Linked DNA regions of Lytechinus pictus. The protein of the gene in region 1 purifies or fractionates together with the protein of each later gene. This does not show direct contact. Links are inferred from orthologs where the notes say so. Each region holds a gene or a part of one and is shown in the gene's direction. Other genes may lie near its edges.

Region 1 (7,613 bases):
CTTCCTATTCACCTACACGAAGGACCCCAAAACCAGTAGAGGCGCACTGCCAATATTGGAGACTATCTCCAATGTGGGAGATTATCTCCAATATCAGAGACTTTTGTAAAGAATTTTGGTATCCAATTTAGAGACAGTCTCCAGTTTTAGAGTCCAATTTCCTTTGTTTACATTTGCTGCAAAAGGATTACCTTGGCGGCAAATAAAAATGTGGTAAGCAGATTCCTCATGAAAAATTACCCCTTTTCACTGTCTACTTTTGTTTTTGATAAGGATTTTTGTTGTCAATCACACACAAAACAAATGGGCTTCTGACCTCAGTGAGACAAAATTTTGGGTAGAAAAAATCATGCTTTTGTTGGTGTTGTTTCTTTTGTCCTTTTGCAAAGCAAGTCTCCAAGTCCAATGTGGGAGATCGTCTCCCATATTGGCCGTGCGACTCTACTGAAAACCTGAAACGGACGCGAGCGTCGCGTAACGTTGGGGAAGTACAATAAGAAACAAGATGGCGGCGTAAACATCGGGCAAGTCTCTTCCATCTTTTCACAATATTTTTTCACTTTTTTGATGAATTCTGGTTTAAAAATAACGAGAGCGTAGTCGTAGAAATGTCGGAAATGAAGTTTTATCCCAGACGCGTGCGTCGGGTAACGTTGGCGAAGAACAATAGAAAACAAGAAAGTAGCATTCAATTTAAATAAGAGCCCCCGAAATTTGACAAAAAATTTAAAATGGAGCCCTCAAAAATTTTTTTTTTCCCTTTCTTAGTACGAGATAGATCTACATGACTGTCTAGAGTGGGCCCACGCTCCCGAGTCATGCCATTCCATGGCGATATGCGCTGCATACCTGTGCACTACATGACGTGCATACATCAAACACTGCCTGCTCTGGGCCGGGGTGATCGGCAGGGTCATTATGCGACGATGCGCTCACAAGCCCTGCAACTGCGCTGTTCTGTAAAACTTCAAGATCATAAATGCAAACTCGCCCAAGTCACATTGCATTGGCATATTACAATTACAAACCGAAAAGTTTCTACTTTCTACAAATGACAAATTAAAATCTTGGCAGGGTATAGATTGAGCTTTAAAAGCATATACAGAATAAGTTTAAATTTCATCATAAAAGTACCTACAAATATTGATAATAAGTCATTCAAATAAGATTATAACTCACCGGTATATAGACCACGAGGCTGCATACACCAATATAAAATGGAAGAATGTGACGTCATCAGACTTTAACTATTTCTTCAATTGAGTTTTACAGTTTCGTCAATCATTCATTATTATTTATGGCAAAGGGTTTTAAATCATTAAAAAATTATTTACAATTTTAATTAATATATCAAACAATATTTTTGTATTTTTAATTGCAAATGTAATAAAAATTGTTCATACAAATAAACTTTTTGAAAAAGCCTACATGAATATTAATGCAATGAATATTCATGTTGTAATCAGAATCTGAGATATTCCATCCCGGAAGTAGATCTTGTAGAAGATGATATATATACGAAATATAAAGCCAATTCAAAATCTATTTTCTTTAAAAATATATTGCTTTGCGATATGATTATTATTGAAATTACTTAGATAGTATGTAGCATATAGCAGTCCAGCTGCTTTTCGAAAAATATGGTATTCATCTGTGACCTTAAAACTGTAAGTACAATCAATGGAACAGCTGGCGCGCCACCAATACAAAGTAACGCGCGAAATCTTTCCTGCAGCTGATTCAAAGATCCTTATCGTAAAAAAAAAATCGCCTATTACGTGATTCGCCCGATCGGTAATTGCAGAATCGAGCCTTAAAACGCTTTAAAAAAACCGTTTGTTCCAGATATGAAAGCTTTCTTCGAATTTTCTGTTCTTCTACAGTTTATTTGGCATTTCTTCTTTAAAAAAAAAGTAATACTGAAAATGTCCCCATGTAAGTTCGGCAAAGACCTGAGGCAGCACCTGAGAATAGAGTCTTGTTAGAGTGACGGGCTATATTTGAGGGGAAGTTCACTTTGACAAAAATTTTATATTCTACAAATAGCAGAAAAACAATAAATAAATATTGCCGAAGGTTTGAGAAAAATATCAAAGAATAAAAAAGGTTATTGGAATTTTAGATTTGATTTCTTGTGACGCAATAATGCGAGGCTTGCGAGCAGATTTCATATTGGGTGAAAGCATATCAATGAAATGTCATTGTCTCAGAAAATCGAAAATAAAAAAAAACACGGTTTTCTACGGCTTGGTATATCAATAGACAAATCATTTCACATCCGTTCCTAAAAAATGCACGAACCATCAAAAAATTGAAATCTATTCATTTTATATACGGGGCATCTGCTCGACAAATCCAAAACTATATAACTGAATAATAAATGAATTAGTTTCCTGGAACCTTCACCAATATTTTTTATTGTTTGTTCTGCCGGCTATTTTACAACAACCTATATAGCTAGTTTCTTCAGGGTGTACTTCGAACTTTAATGTGTGACGTCATAATGTGCGAGCATCAAGTTTCAATGGAACTTGAGATGAATACAAATATTTTTCTCATAGAAAGGAAAAAATGTTGTGATGATACATTTACCACTATGAATAAAATCCCTTCTTTTTTAAATGACTTTTAAGTGGGCGAATTTAAAGTATGTATCAAAGATAAAAAAATTCAAAAATCACAACTCCGTCCGCGTATTCTTTGATAATGTTCACCCTTCATCCCCTTCACCAATATTTTTCTGATTTTATAATAAAACCAATCCCCCGGACAAATCCCCTTCAGAAGATATTTACTTCCCATATAGCCCGGGGGGGGCCACTTACATTGACGAGTGGATACCATGCGCGACCAAGAAAACACGTAAAAAGGATGTCTTTTTCAAGATAGGGCACGTTACGTACGTAACGTGATTAGGGTGTCAAAAACACAAAAATAATGAAAAAAGGGTATCTATTTCGCTAGGAAAGCTATCGTGTTTAGGGTCACATTTGCGGGGATGATCAAACAAAATTAAAATGTTGTATAAAGGATGTCCTTTTTGCCCCAACACTACGTGTTTAGAGTCCCGATTTGCGCGAGGTGAGGAAGGTGGGGCCATACTAAACCAAATGGTGTGTAAATTAGATAAAACCGACGACCGCCGGACCCGTGACACAACAATAAAATATCGCTGTATACTTGTTTAGGGGTTCATTTCAGGGAATACTTGCCAAGAGTATAGTTTTGTTTCCAATGCTTGTTAAGGGTAGGGTTTCAGACGCCAATATACTTGTTAAGGGGTGCATTTTCAGAACATGGAAAATACGTGTTTAGGGTGCTTTTCGAGACCCCGTGGTCGCGCATGGTATCCACTTGTCAATGGAAGTGGCCCCCCCGGGCATATAGCCTGGGCCAGGCAATGCATGTCAAATAGTTGGTTCGAAGGTCAAACAGACGGCTTAGAATAAAAAAGGTCTATATAAAGATCATGAGGCTAACGTGCGGCCCCTCAAATCTATAGACTTTGAGCAAGTTTCAAAAGGCCAAGATTTAAAATCTCTGATTCTGTATAGTTCTGAATAGATTCCCGGAATAGTTTAAATAAAAGTCAAAGTAAAGAAAGAGAGAGAAAAGAAGAGTGGTGAAAATCCATAAAGAATTATTTTAATTTGTGGTGTCACAGACGAGAAACCATTTAAATAAGGCCCCAACTACACTGAATTTCCTCATGATATTTGAAAGGGATACCGAAGGATCGCGGCCCATAGGCCTACCAAGTGGCGGACCGTGACCCGCGGAGGAGACAATGATTGGAGGGGCACTTGTTTGTGAACAATGCTGTGCCCCTCCAATGCTTTGTCTCCTCCGGGTCACGGTCCGCCACTGCCCCCCTTTTAATTCATTATTTTTTTTTATGTATAGGTATGTTGGCCCTAAAGGCGTCGTAGGGCTATCCTATAGGCCTATTTGTATATATCATCATTGAACACAGGAAAGTACTTGAGTATATACTGACAAGTAGGCCTACAGGTAAAATAGATGCTCAGTCATGAATAATATAGGCATACAATGTTTAATTTAACTTTTTTTTTACTGGGAGTACATCTGCTGTCCGATGCCAAAGCCATCACATTTCCTTTATAAGGTTAATTGTTTTGAGTTCATTATGCTTAGGTCAATCCGTGGTATAGTTTCATCTGGGTCTTCCAATAACATTATTTACATGATGTTAAAACGAAAGCTAGGCCACTAATGAATCATCCAACTTGATTATCTTTTTTATTCAAATTTTTTTTAATGGAATTTATACATGACATGCTATATAGATTTCGGGCCACTGGAGTCTCATTCTTCGACGGATTTTCATCGAATCTTCTGTGAAAGTCTTTCACCCATTTTTTCCCTTCTTCTTTTCTGCTTTTCATTCAAATCTACGTATCGTCGCGTCCGGGCATCGATCTCCCCACTAACTTAAAGGGTATATGGGCGTAAAGGGGCGTAAACGTCCCGATCCTGCGATTATTTTGATCACAAGCAAAATCTTACTTACACGTACCGGTAGGTACGAATTTCGTTCAACAGAGTTATCTGGGGGCGACTCCTTTGTTATTCCTGTAGACGATTCGAGCCCGTACATAAAACGTGCAAAACATTCATTGAAATTTTCAGGAGATCGAGTTTGTTCTATCGAAGACAATTCGTCATTCATTGTAGATCCAGGACAGACTCCCTCCTGAATCTGATATTCACATGTGTGATATCTTGGTCTTGCGACTGGGAGGGAATATTATTTTGACTTCATTGCATTGAAGTCGAAATATTAACGTTTAATTTTGTTGTTGACTTGGTCTTTGTGACGTTTTGTCGGCAAGAAACTACGCCGTGGCGTAGGCGGAGGCTAGGCTCGAGCGCCCGACTCCTAACTTAACTGTTCACGGATCCTTTCTCAGGCACGGCAGGAGTTTGGCAGTGTAGTGACAGTCAAACATATACACACTTCTAGGCCTCTGTCACTGACTCACATACACTCGCTCAGTATCAGAGAGAGCTGCATGCAGCTTATGCTTATTAATTCATGTAATTAGCCTTTTGCTTTGGACAGTGAGTGAGCTAGTAAGAGTAAAGTTAGACCTGTCATTGTCAAAGACAAAGTCAAAGCCTGATTCTGAAGAAAACAGAAGGGGTAACTGTAAGCTGGGGACATCTTTCTGCTTCTTCGAATGTATGACAGTATCGTCGGCAGGTGGTCATCTTGACAAACTCCAACTCGAGTCTTCAATTAAAGTTCAGAGTCGAGTCAACTGAGAAAACTTGTTCAAATCACCAGATCACTCTATCCCAATTAGGAAACGCTAAGCCTGGTTAAAGACGGTTCAGTGGGGAACATTTTTTCTTGAGCAGTCACACACAAAGTCTAGACTACACAAAAATGCTTGGGACGGAAGAAGACAAACCTGGATCAAGTTCTGCTGCTGAAATCGAAGAGGTGGAACAAGAAGATGCCGGGTGAGCTGAGCAGCATTTTTACTTTTCAAAATTGGCAATGGCATGCTTAAAAGTTGGAGTAATTTTATTAAAGATGACTTAAAGATTTTTAGCTGTCTCTTGCATTTATAAATCATCAACAGGTCAAGTTTGGCCTCGTAGTCAAGAAACTTTTATCATGTCTATAATTTTATTTAAAAATTAAATTCTAAAGGTCAAATAGAATGACTAATTATGACAAATCAGTAGGGTCTAATAAATTATTGAACATATACTAACCTCGCAATACATGTGAGTGACAAAATGATGAAGTAGCCAAATTGGACTTTGGTTTCTTGTCGTTTGTTTGGATTGATGCTTGGAGTGATATTTGATATTCAGATTTCATTTGTCAATTGAATTCTGTATGATGAGTGACCTATTACATTATTTTTCTCATTTCAGCCCTGAAGACGTTGATGCTGAAGCCTTAGAATTGATGGGCCAGGGGAAGAGGAATCTTGTGGTTGGTGACCCTCCAGCTGCTGTCCAGTGTTTCCAAGAAGCTTGTGAACTGCTGTACGATTTATCTTATTTCAGTAGATCCCCCCCCCCAAAAAAAAAAAATCAATTAAAAAAACATGGTTTATTTCTTATTTTATCTGAAAGATCATCATTATCTATTAAGCATATTAACATGAGACAAACTGACCTTTTTTGTCTGTCCAAAATTGTCACCTTCTTTCAGTTTTACATCTATAGATCTACATTTAATGATTTTTTTTTAGGAAACAAGTAATTTTTATTGATTGGTCATGTACATTATTCCAAGCCTTATAGCTGGTCTACTTAAAAAGAACAATTCCCTTGGATTGAGAAAATACTTTGATTACTGAATTCAAAGGTTGCAGAATGCACACAAATCAAAATATGAAGGAAAATATTCCTTTGAAATTCAAGAGTTGTGTTATTTTAGAGGTCTGTGATAGAATCCTAGTATTCAATTAATCTAATGATTTTAGTCTTTACTCCATTTCTTGCAGACCTACCCTTATTATTTTATACTAAATCAATTTGATTACATTAATTCTAACATTACAGAGTGAAAGTGTTATTCTTTTTAGTAGATAAATGTAACTACATTTATATCCCATTGTGTACTGAAACTGGGTGGTCCGTCATCGAATCTATGGAAAATGAAGATTTCAGAATCCATTAATTCAATCGTGTATATATCTTGCACATTTAAATTGCAGGTCATCTAAATATGGCGAGACTGCGGAGGAGTGTGGGGATGCGTACTATCAATATGGATGCTCCCTTCTTGAACTAGCGAGCATGGAGAATGGTGTACTTGGCAACGCTCTGCAGGGGGTCCCAGATGATTCAGCCGACTCGGCAGATTCCGACGAAGAAGGAGAAGGAAAGCAAAGTTGCACTGGAAGTAGGGTAGAAAGTGCAGACCAGCTAGAAGGTAAAATGGTTATTGGTATATCTTTATAGAGGATGGCTCAAGTTTATTTTTCATTGGAAATAAAGGACAGCTCATTTGCTATCTTGCATGTACATATATGGAGCATTAAAAATATTTTTAAAAGAAGCCCCGATTAATTCAATCTTTACAATTTAAATAGATAAAATGTTAGATAAAATCAACCCACTCTTTTGAAATAAAGTAATGGATAAATGCAACTGAAAGGAAAAGAGCAATGTGTAGAATTCACCCAAGATTAGATAGATTTGGATAAGTGTAGAATTAGCTGGAGGTGATAGATTACATTCCCTGGTATTTAGATGGTCAGTTTATCAATGGTCATTCACTGGGGATGATTGAATTCTACACTGTCTTGGATCATCCAATTTGAATAGGATGCCATTTGCTTTGTCTATTTAAAAGGAATCTAAAAGAATTTAAATTACAGTAATCTAAAGCGCTTATTGGGTGTGTCATTGACTTGTGAATTCAAGCTAAAGCTTCTTGAAACTATGAGCCATCTGCTTCTTTATTTAAACAATCAGTTGCTTCCATTTAGACTAGAAAATACTCTACTGAACAATAGGTTCAAACTAACAACATTTTTGCATACTTGGACAATTGTTCTCTACATCCAAAGAATTTGTCAAGTATCGTGACTAGTAAATTTATGCAAACTGGATTCTAAATAGTT
Region 2 (7,564 bases), on another chromosome or scaffold:
CTCCACCTACCCGAACATCGGGACAGTGAACTAGATCGGATATTCTGAGTCAAAAAAGGTGGGATGGCAATCATGGTTATCGTAAAAATTAAAGAAAAAAAATATAACGAGGGATGAATGACTTAATATCTTACTCTACACCCGTGGTTCAGTCAAGTTGTCATTGTTGTCAAACCTATATTAATCAGCTGTAGAAATTGAAAGAGTAACAAGTGGAGCGCCTCTGGCAGTCTCACCTGCATCACTTGAAACTTGATTGAAAATAATTGTTATAATAACAATAATTATTTATAATCACGTATTAGATTTTATTTTTGTTAAATAATAATGCGACCAATCGCATGCGATGTTTTGAAATCGGCCGTGAATAATACGTGTGAGGAAAAAGATACTTGCCCAAAATCACCAATTTTGAGGATAACCGGAGGATGGACACGGAGTGAAATACGGGTGTAGAGTAAGATATTAAGTCATTCATATCCCTCGTTATATATTTTTTCTTTAATTCTTACGATAACCATGATTGCCATCCCAATTTATGACTCGGAATATTCGATCTAGTTCACTGTCCCGATGTTCGGGTAGGTAGAGCGTAGTGTAGCGGTACTAAGTCTAAGTACCGTATGGGCACTAGTATTCAACCCGGCATAATTCAAAGATTTTGACAAATTCCCCCAAATATTTAGAAATAGGGAATTTATCTTAATTTCATACCTTTGTTATTACAAGTGTAATCTTTTGTCGGTATTTTCTTTATCAATCTGTCGACTGTATGCGCGGAGGATCAAATTATGTGGCGATGACCTTTTGCACTGAAATGCACTAGTAATACTAGTGTAGAGTACTAGTAGTATTCAACCTAGTGATGATAGCTAATTTAAAAATGGTTTAGATTGCTAAATTAGATCTAGATTTATGTAAGTCTCTGGCTTTGATTAATTCCCTGTTTGGTCTCATCTCGATTGGTCTAGTCCATAGTCGGATGGGACAAGGGCAGATTGAAAGACAGGGCCATCTTTCATCGCTAGGTTGAAATAATACTAACTTTAGTGTCGACGGATTGAATACTACTTTACTAGTGCCAAAAACCATCGCCGTATAATTTGATCGCCTGCGCACACAGTCGACGGGTTGAAGAAAAAAATAACGGAAAAAGAATAACCAGCATTTGCTCTTGGAAATAAGACGGGTCTGAAATCAATTTCAGGTAAATTCTATATTTCTATAATATATATATTTGAGGAAACTCTCCAAACGGGTTGAATACTAGTGCCCTTACGGTATGGCAGTGAGTCCAAACTTCACGCGTGTCCATACTTCGTGGACGGTCATTATCTAAAAAACTAGCCAATATTCTTAAAATCTGACATCATCAACGTGAAAAGCGACCTAAAAATAAAATTACCCTTTGATGTAAGTTTCTTTAGGATGAGTTCAGTATTCATGAAAATATTGGCAAAAGATCGGCAAATTTGTCACTGTTAGCGCCCGTTTTGAAGAAATCAGATATTCTCAACAAGCATCACGATATCACCATTTTGCAAGCAGAAATCATCAAAAATGTGAGTTAGATGTGGTACTAACCGATTCTATAGCATTTTGCCATCAATCTGATATAAATATTTCATTTTTTGAGCTTGAGTTTTTGTTTAAATTTCCACAAAAACTTTGGTCCGCGAAGTTAGGTCACACTTTCTGAGCGGTTTTCCAGCACAGCGCGCATTCGCCGATTGGAATAGAATTTTGAGATCGCGATACCGGCGAATCCCCTTGACCTACTTTACATTTTCGTCCATGATTTTACAGTTTACGATCTTGCCGTCAATGTGGTAACTATTTCTTGAATTGGTTTTGTATAAATTATGAATATTTTGTGAACAAATTTAAGCCTGATGTCTGATGAATATTTTTGAAAAGTGCGCGAAGTTTGGACACCCCATAGGCATCATAGGATGGGGGGTCGGGAGTCCAGACAGTTTATCTTTTTGAAGCCTTCTTTTTTGTCTTTGGATTACACTATAAATATGAAATTCAATACTTGTAATCATCTTCTATTTTGTTCTTTATAATATTTCCTAACATTTTGTACTAAAAATTGATGAAACTTCGCTTGTAATTTTTTCCAAATGACTTTCTAAAAAATTGATCGTCCGGACACACAACCTGTCCGGACACACAACAACTGGGTATACTATTAGGGTGTCTGGAGAAAAAAATTATTTTTCTTATTTCAAGAAAATATCACATTTTCTTTGTGAATTTGAAGAGAAATGACCTTAAGACTGACAGAAGTGTAACATTTTTGAAAAAAATCCAATTATTGGCTGCAAAAAAGAAGAATGAAATTAGGTCAATTTTCAGCATTTCTCTGCCATAGACTGTGTAGTTAAGAAATGGACACACACAAATCCAAATTTTTAGCTTCCGAGAGCTGTTATGAATTTATTATTAATGCCAGAAACTATAGGATTTTTTATGCTCTATCAGTTGGTATGATTTTTATAAAGATTTGGAAACCAGATCACAATGAAAAATTGCGACAAAGTGAAAAAAATTGTGCAAAACAGAAATTTCATTTTCCCATAGAAAACGCATGGAGAAATGGCAATCTCAACACACACAAAAATAAGGGTTTGCAATTTATCTCTAAATCCTTATTAAACATGATCATATGGCAAGTTCCCCCAAGTCTGCGCAGTCCCCCTTGTCTGCGCACACGCGTATCTGCGCGATTCTAGTAAAAGAAGATACGCAACGAGCACGAACTCTACACATGCAATACATAGACAGTAGAGGTGCACGGCCAATATTGGAGACTGTCTCCAATGTGGGAGATTATCTCCAATATCAGAGACTTTTGTAAAGAATTTGGGTATCCAATTTCAGAGACAGTCTCCAGTTTTGGAGTCCAATTTCCTTTGTTTACATTTGCTGCAAAAGGATTAACTTGGCGGCAAATAAAAATGTGATAAGCAGATTCCTCATGAAAAATTACCCCTTTTCAACGTCTACTTTAAAAATTCACCGTCTACTTTTGTTTTGATAAGGATTTTTGTTGTCAATCACACACAAAACAAATGGGCTTCTGACCTCAGTGAGACAACATTTTGGGTGGAAAAAATCATGCTTTTGTTGGTGTTGTTTCTTTTGTCCTTTTGCAAAGCAAGTCTCCAATGTGGGAGATTGTCTCCCCTATTGGAGAGAGTCTCCCATATTGGCCGTGCGCCTCTACTGATAGACAGGTATTCATAAAAAAATCTGACTCAAAATGATGGAAAAATAATGAATTTAGGGTATTTTATGTGAAGGCCTCAAAATGCAGCCTTTCTCATCAAAATCCCAGAATCGTGTGCAAAGTGAATGAGTGCGCAGACATGGCCAGGGGAACCATTTTTTTTTTCAATCTGAAAATGACAGCCCGAGGTTTTTTTAATGAGAAATTTGGTACACTTACTAATAATAAGGAATATTATTAACCAAAAGATTTTGTGAAATAAGAAGAAATTCATGTTAAATCTTAACTCAAATTGTTAATGTTAGGTGCGCAGACTTGGGACCACCATCATATAAACTTGTCCTTACTGTCAAAAGAAGCCCCTGAATTTTCTCTTTCCATACATGCCAAACACAAGTTAATAATCAATTCAGATCACGTTTTTTTATTAGCCTGAATTTCCCCGAAAAAATGTGCCATATTTTCCCCTAAATCAGCCTGTTTTAATTATGCTGACACTTTTCAAATTTCAGTGTGGCTTCAGGAACCCTAAATTCCTAATTTAAATACCGGAAGGATTGGGGATCGGGTGTCCGGACACTTTATTATTTTATAATTATTTTTGAAGCCTTCTTTTTTGTCATTGGATTACACTACAAATAGTAAAATACGAAATCAATAGTTGTAATCATCTTCTATTTTGTTCTCTATAATATTTCCTGACATTTTGTACTAAAAATTGATAAAACTTTCCTTGTAAATTTTTCCAAATGACTTTCTAAAATTGATCGTCCGGACACACAGTGTCCGGACACACAACAACTGGGTACGGTATACTATGAATGATCAAGTGGAGTGGAGCCTGCACGAACATCGCCTGAGGTAGGGTGGACTTGACCTTTAAAAAAGGGAGCCCTGTTACAAAATCCACCATCGACACTTATAGAGAAGAAGAAGACACCCCCCCCCCCCCCCACCGTTCTCACCGTACCGCAGATCAAGCAAAGGCAAAGCAGAGTTTGGTTGACGTCGCGCCGGAGTTCTGGCTGGCACTGCTAACACTTTCTCGGTGCGTGATAGCTGACCCCGCGGTGTGCGAGAGAAGCTCTCTGGAAATTCCAAACACCGGCTAAGCAGACGTAGCATCAGAAATACAAGCCACTGTAGCAGAAAATCAAATGTGGAAGGCGCCAATAGACGCTATCATGAAAGAATGAAATATTTCATGTCACACGTCATTCGATAAATATTGTCAAGGTAAGGTTTTCAGGTATAAAATTAAATAAAAATTGAGACTGACCTGGAATAGGAGCTTGATCGCGATCGACGGTAGTCGCCGGCCGAACAAAGTACTTCCGGGTCAATGTCGTGTCGTGGATTTCGAGTTGTCTCGCGCGAAATCAAGAAAGATGGCGGGTAAGTTTTTCAGTAAACAATAAAAACCTGACAAATCATCCACTTTTTGATGTATTCAGACATGCCATAGACTAACGTATTTTCTCATGCAGACTATAAAATCTTGAAATGTTTAGTTTAAAGTCCAACGTTAAATAACATTTGTGATTTTTTGTTGTGTCAAGCTCAAGAGTCAAGACGACAAAAAAGTAAAACACTACCGAGTGCCGACTGCACAGGCACAGCTGCTCAGTGCACAGCATTGCATTGGCATTGCTACAGACTGGCACGTCCTGGCACTTGGGCTTGGGCTTGGCAGTGGCAGTGGCAGTGGCAGTGCAGTCATTATTCAGACAGTGAAAGTGACCTAAAAAAAAACTGCATGCATATATAAAACGTAACAGCTGTCATTTGCCAACGGCAAGTATATGTTTCTTGTCCTGCAGCTGCAGTTTAATTAATTAGGATATTGTCATTTATTGAGGATGAATGGGACTCTGAGGATTGCCACTCGACATGCTCAACTCAAAATTCATGCATGCCGCCGCGCATAGGAAAATCAAGCCATAGGCATAGAACTTTAACGTTGAGTTACGTTAGAAGTCATGTGCAGCACGCGCGAACCACTAGCCTAGGTCCTAGTTAGAAATCCACTTACAAACGTTCTTTTTGCGAGGTTAGCAGTATACTAATAAATAATATTAACCTCGCACTAGTGTGAGTGGAGGATGGGAGAGGGTGACAATGAAGTGAAGGCGTGATCGAGATGAATGAATGGGACGAGACCTCGTCTGATTCTTTATAGAGTGGAGGATGAATGGGAGGAGGAAGAAGTAAGTTAGGGAGAGGGTGAATAATGAGCTGGAAGGAGGCATAACTTAGGGAGAGGGTGACTTCTGAGATTGAAGGAGGAATAACTTAAGGAGAGGGTAAATGGGAGGAGGATCAAGTGGGGAGAGGATGAATGGGAGGTAGAAGGGAGACGAATGGGAGGAGGAAGAAGGGAGACAAGGAATGGGAGGAAGAAGAAGGGATAGGGTGAATGGGAGGCGAAAGGAGAGAATGAATGGGAGGAAGAGGATGAATGGGAGGAGGAAGAAGGGAGAGGATGAATGGGAGGAGGAAGAAGGGATAGGGTGAATGGGAGGCGAAGGAAGAGGATGAATGGGAGGAGGAAGAAGGGAGAAGATGAGTGGGAGGAGGAAGAAGAAGGGAGAGGATGAATTGGAGGAAGAAGGGGGGATAGAGTGAATGGGAGGCGGAACGAGTACGGAGAGGAAGGGAGAGGATGAATCGGAGGAGGAAGAAGGGAGAGGATAAATGGGAGAAGGAGGAAGAAGAAGCGAGATGAGGAAGGGGACAGAGAGTGAATGATAGAAGAAGAATGTTGACGTACAATCACCAGCATCTGGTTGTCGCGTACGTTTGGGTTTAGGGGTCAAGCGCTAAACACAGTTAATTTTGGTAGTGTGCTATTGAGACATGGGTGTTGATATCCAAACTAATCATCCTATGTCTTTGGAATGTCTGACATCCTCACCAAGAAGGTTCCATTCTGGGATGGTCTTGGGATATAGGGAGCGTTGGTTGCAGTCTTTATTTGATCTTATAACGTTGTATTTGAAAGTTCCCTTTTGTCTGGTTGGATATCTACAACTGGTTGGGTTTTGAGTTTGATGAGACATGATGAGTGGGATTGGAGCAACACTTCTTGTTTTCTCTTCTTCTTTCCCACCCTTTTAAAAATATCCAGTGAAAAGTAAATCTTACCCTTTTTTTAATGTGTTTATTTTTCACAATTCTATGGAGCGGAATTGTGTCAAGGCACTAAAGCCCCTTCCTATATCCATGTATCACAGGAATGAGCACCTGCATCCCTCCAAACATGGAGGGGGGGGGGGGTCAGTACTCTCTTAATCCCCTCCTGTTAAGCAAAAGGAGCAATATATTATCTTGTCTTCCCCTCTGACAGTAGTTTTTCATTTTGATTGCTTTTTAGTATCCATCTTCATTTTTTCTCTTCATACTTCTGCTTCATTCCCCCTCCTCCTTCTTTTATTATTTCAATTTTTCCAAAAACTCAAAAAATATTAAACTAAAATATGTTTTTAATGAAAATCTAAAGATGTCTGTCAAAATTGCCAATTTTTAACCCAATGGGACTTGATTTTGTAATCAGAACCTCAAATTTCATTTTTTCAACACTTAGGCAATACAAACAAAAGTTGGTTTAAAAAAAATGTAATTTGATGGTTCACAGGGGCCCCTATTTCTGACTAATGATGACGGCAGACTGATAGTGCTCTCTGCCCAGGAGCTCCTCTCAGGCAGAGATTTATCTGAGGCCTCCTGATTTAATTGTCCTGTAATGTATTCCATCCAAATATTAATTTAGTGGGGTTTTTTTTACTCATAGGTGCTGTAGCTAACAATATGGATAGCATGAGGAGTGCATTGGAGGAGTTTATTTGCAGAGCTAATGATGTCATAGAAATGAAATTAGGTAAGTTTAAGTACCTAAGTTATGCAATAAGGCTGCATGAAAACTGCATTTTTTTATATTCCCATACTGCCAGCTCTAATACCTTCCACCATAAATATTTGTGGAATGATATCGCCACTTTGTTTGCCTCTTTATCTTCTTCAGATAAGGCTAACGTAAAATAAAACAAGTGCAATTTATAAGAAAAAAAACATTGTAAAGGTAGGCAGTGATTTCAATCAAAGGGTAGATTTTAAAAGCAATAAATTTGATGTTGAAGTTTTTAATGCTGTTACATGAAACTCATTTCAAGTCTTTGAAGCCATACTTCAATATGTGTTTTCTACATCTATGTACAATCAAAAATACAGTTCATCATTAAGATGTTCTTTTTTAAACCCATTTAGTCCGCTCTAAGGAGGATATTGAAGATTCTTCAAGGTCATTTACTCCTACCTTCACCCATCAAATCT

The links.
Region 2: the proteins of histone-binding protein N1/N2-like (region 1) and histone acetyltransferase type B catalytic subunit-like purify together in Homo sapiens (affinity purification with mass spectrometry; 3 studies listed by BioGRID and IntAct, with this or other methods). This does not show direct contact. The link is inferred for Lytechinus pictus from reciprocal best matches to the Homo sapiens genes NASP and HAT1.

Annotation. Positions count from the first base shown.
Region 1 is NC_087255.1:22,431,343-22,438,955, reverse strand, and holds the start of histone-binding protein N1/N2-like, read left to right. Parts: upstream 1-4,597; 5' UTR 4,598-5,410; coding exon 5,411-5,487; intron 5,488-5,910; coding exon 5,911-6,024; intron 6,025-6,701; coding exon 6,702-6,919; intron 6,920-7,613. UniProt on the Homo sapiens protein: Component of the histone chaperone network. Binds and stabilizes histone H3-H4 not bound to chromatin to maintain a soluble reservoir and modulate degradation by chaperone-mediated autophagy.
Region 2 is NC_087247.1:32,189,770-32,197,333, reverse strand, and holds the start of histone acetyltransferase type B catalytic subunit-like, read left to right. Parts: upstream 1-4,520; 5' UTR 4,521-4,623; coding exon 4,624-4,630; intron 4,631-7,025; coding exon 7,026-7,112; intron 7,113-7,498; coding exon 7,499-7,564. UniProt on the Homo sapiens protein: Histone acetyltransferase that plays a role in different biological processes including cell cycle progression, glucose metabolism, histone production or DNA damage repair. Coordinates histone production and acetylation via H4 promoter binding.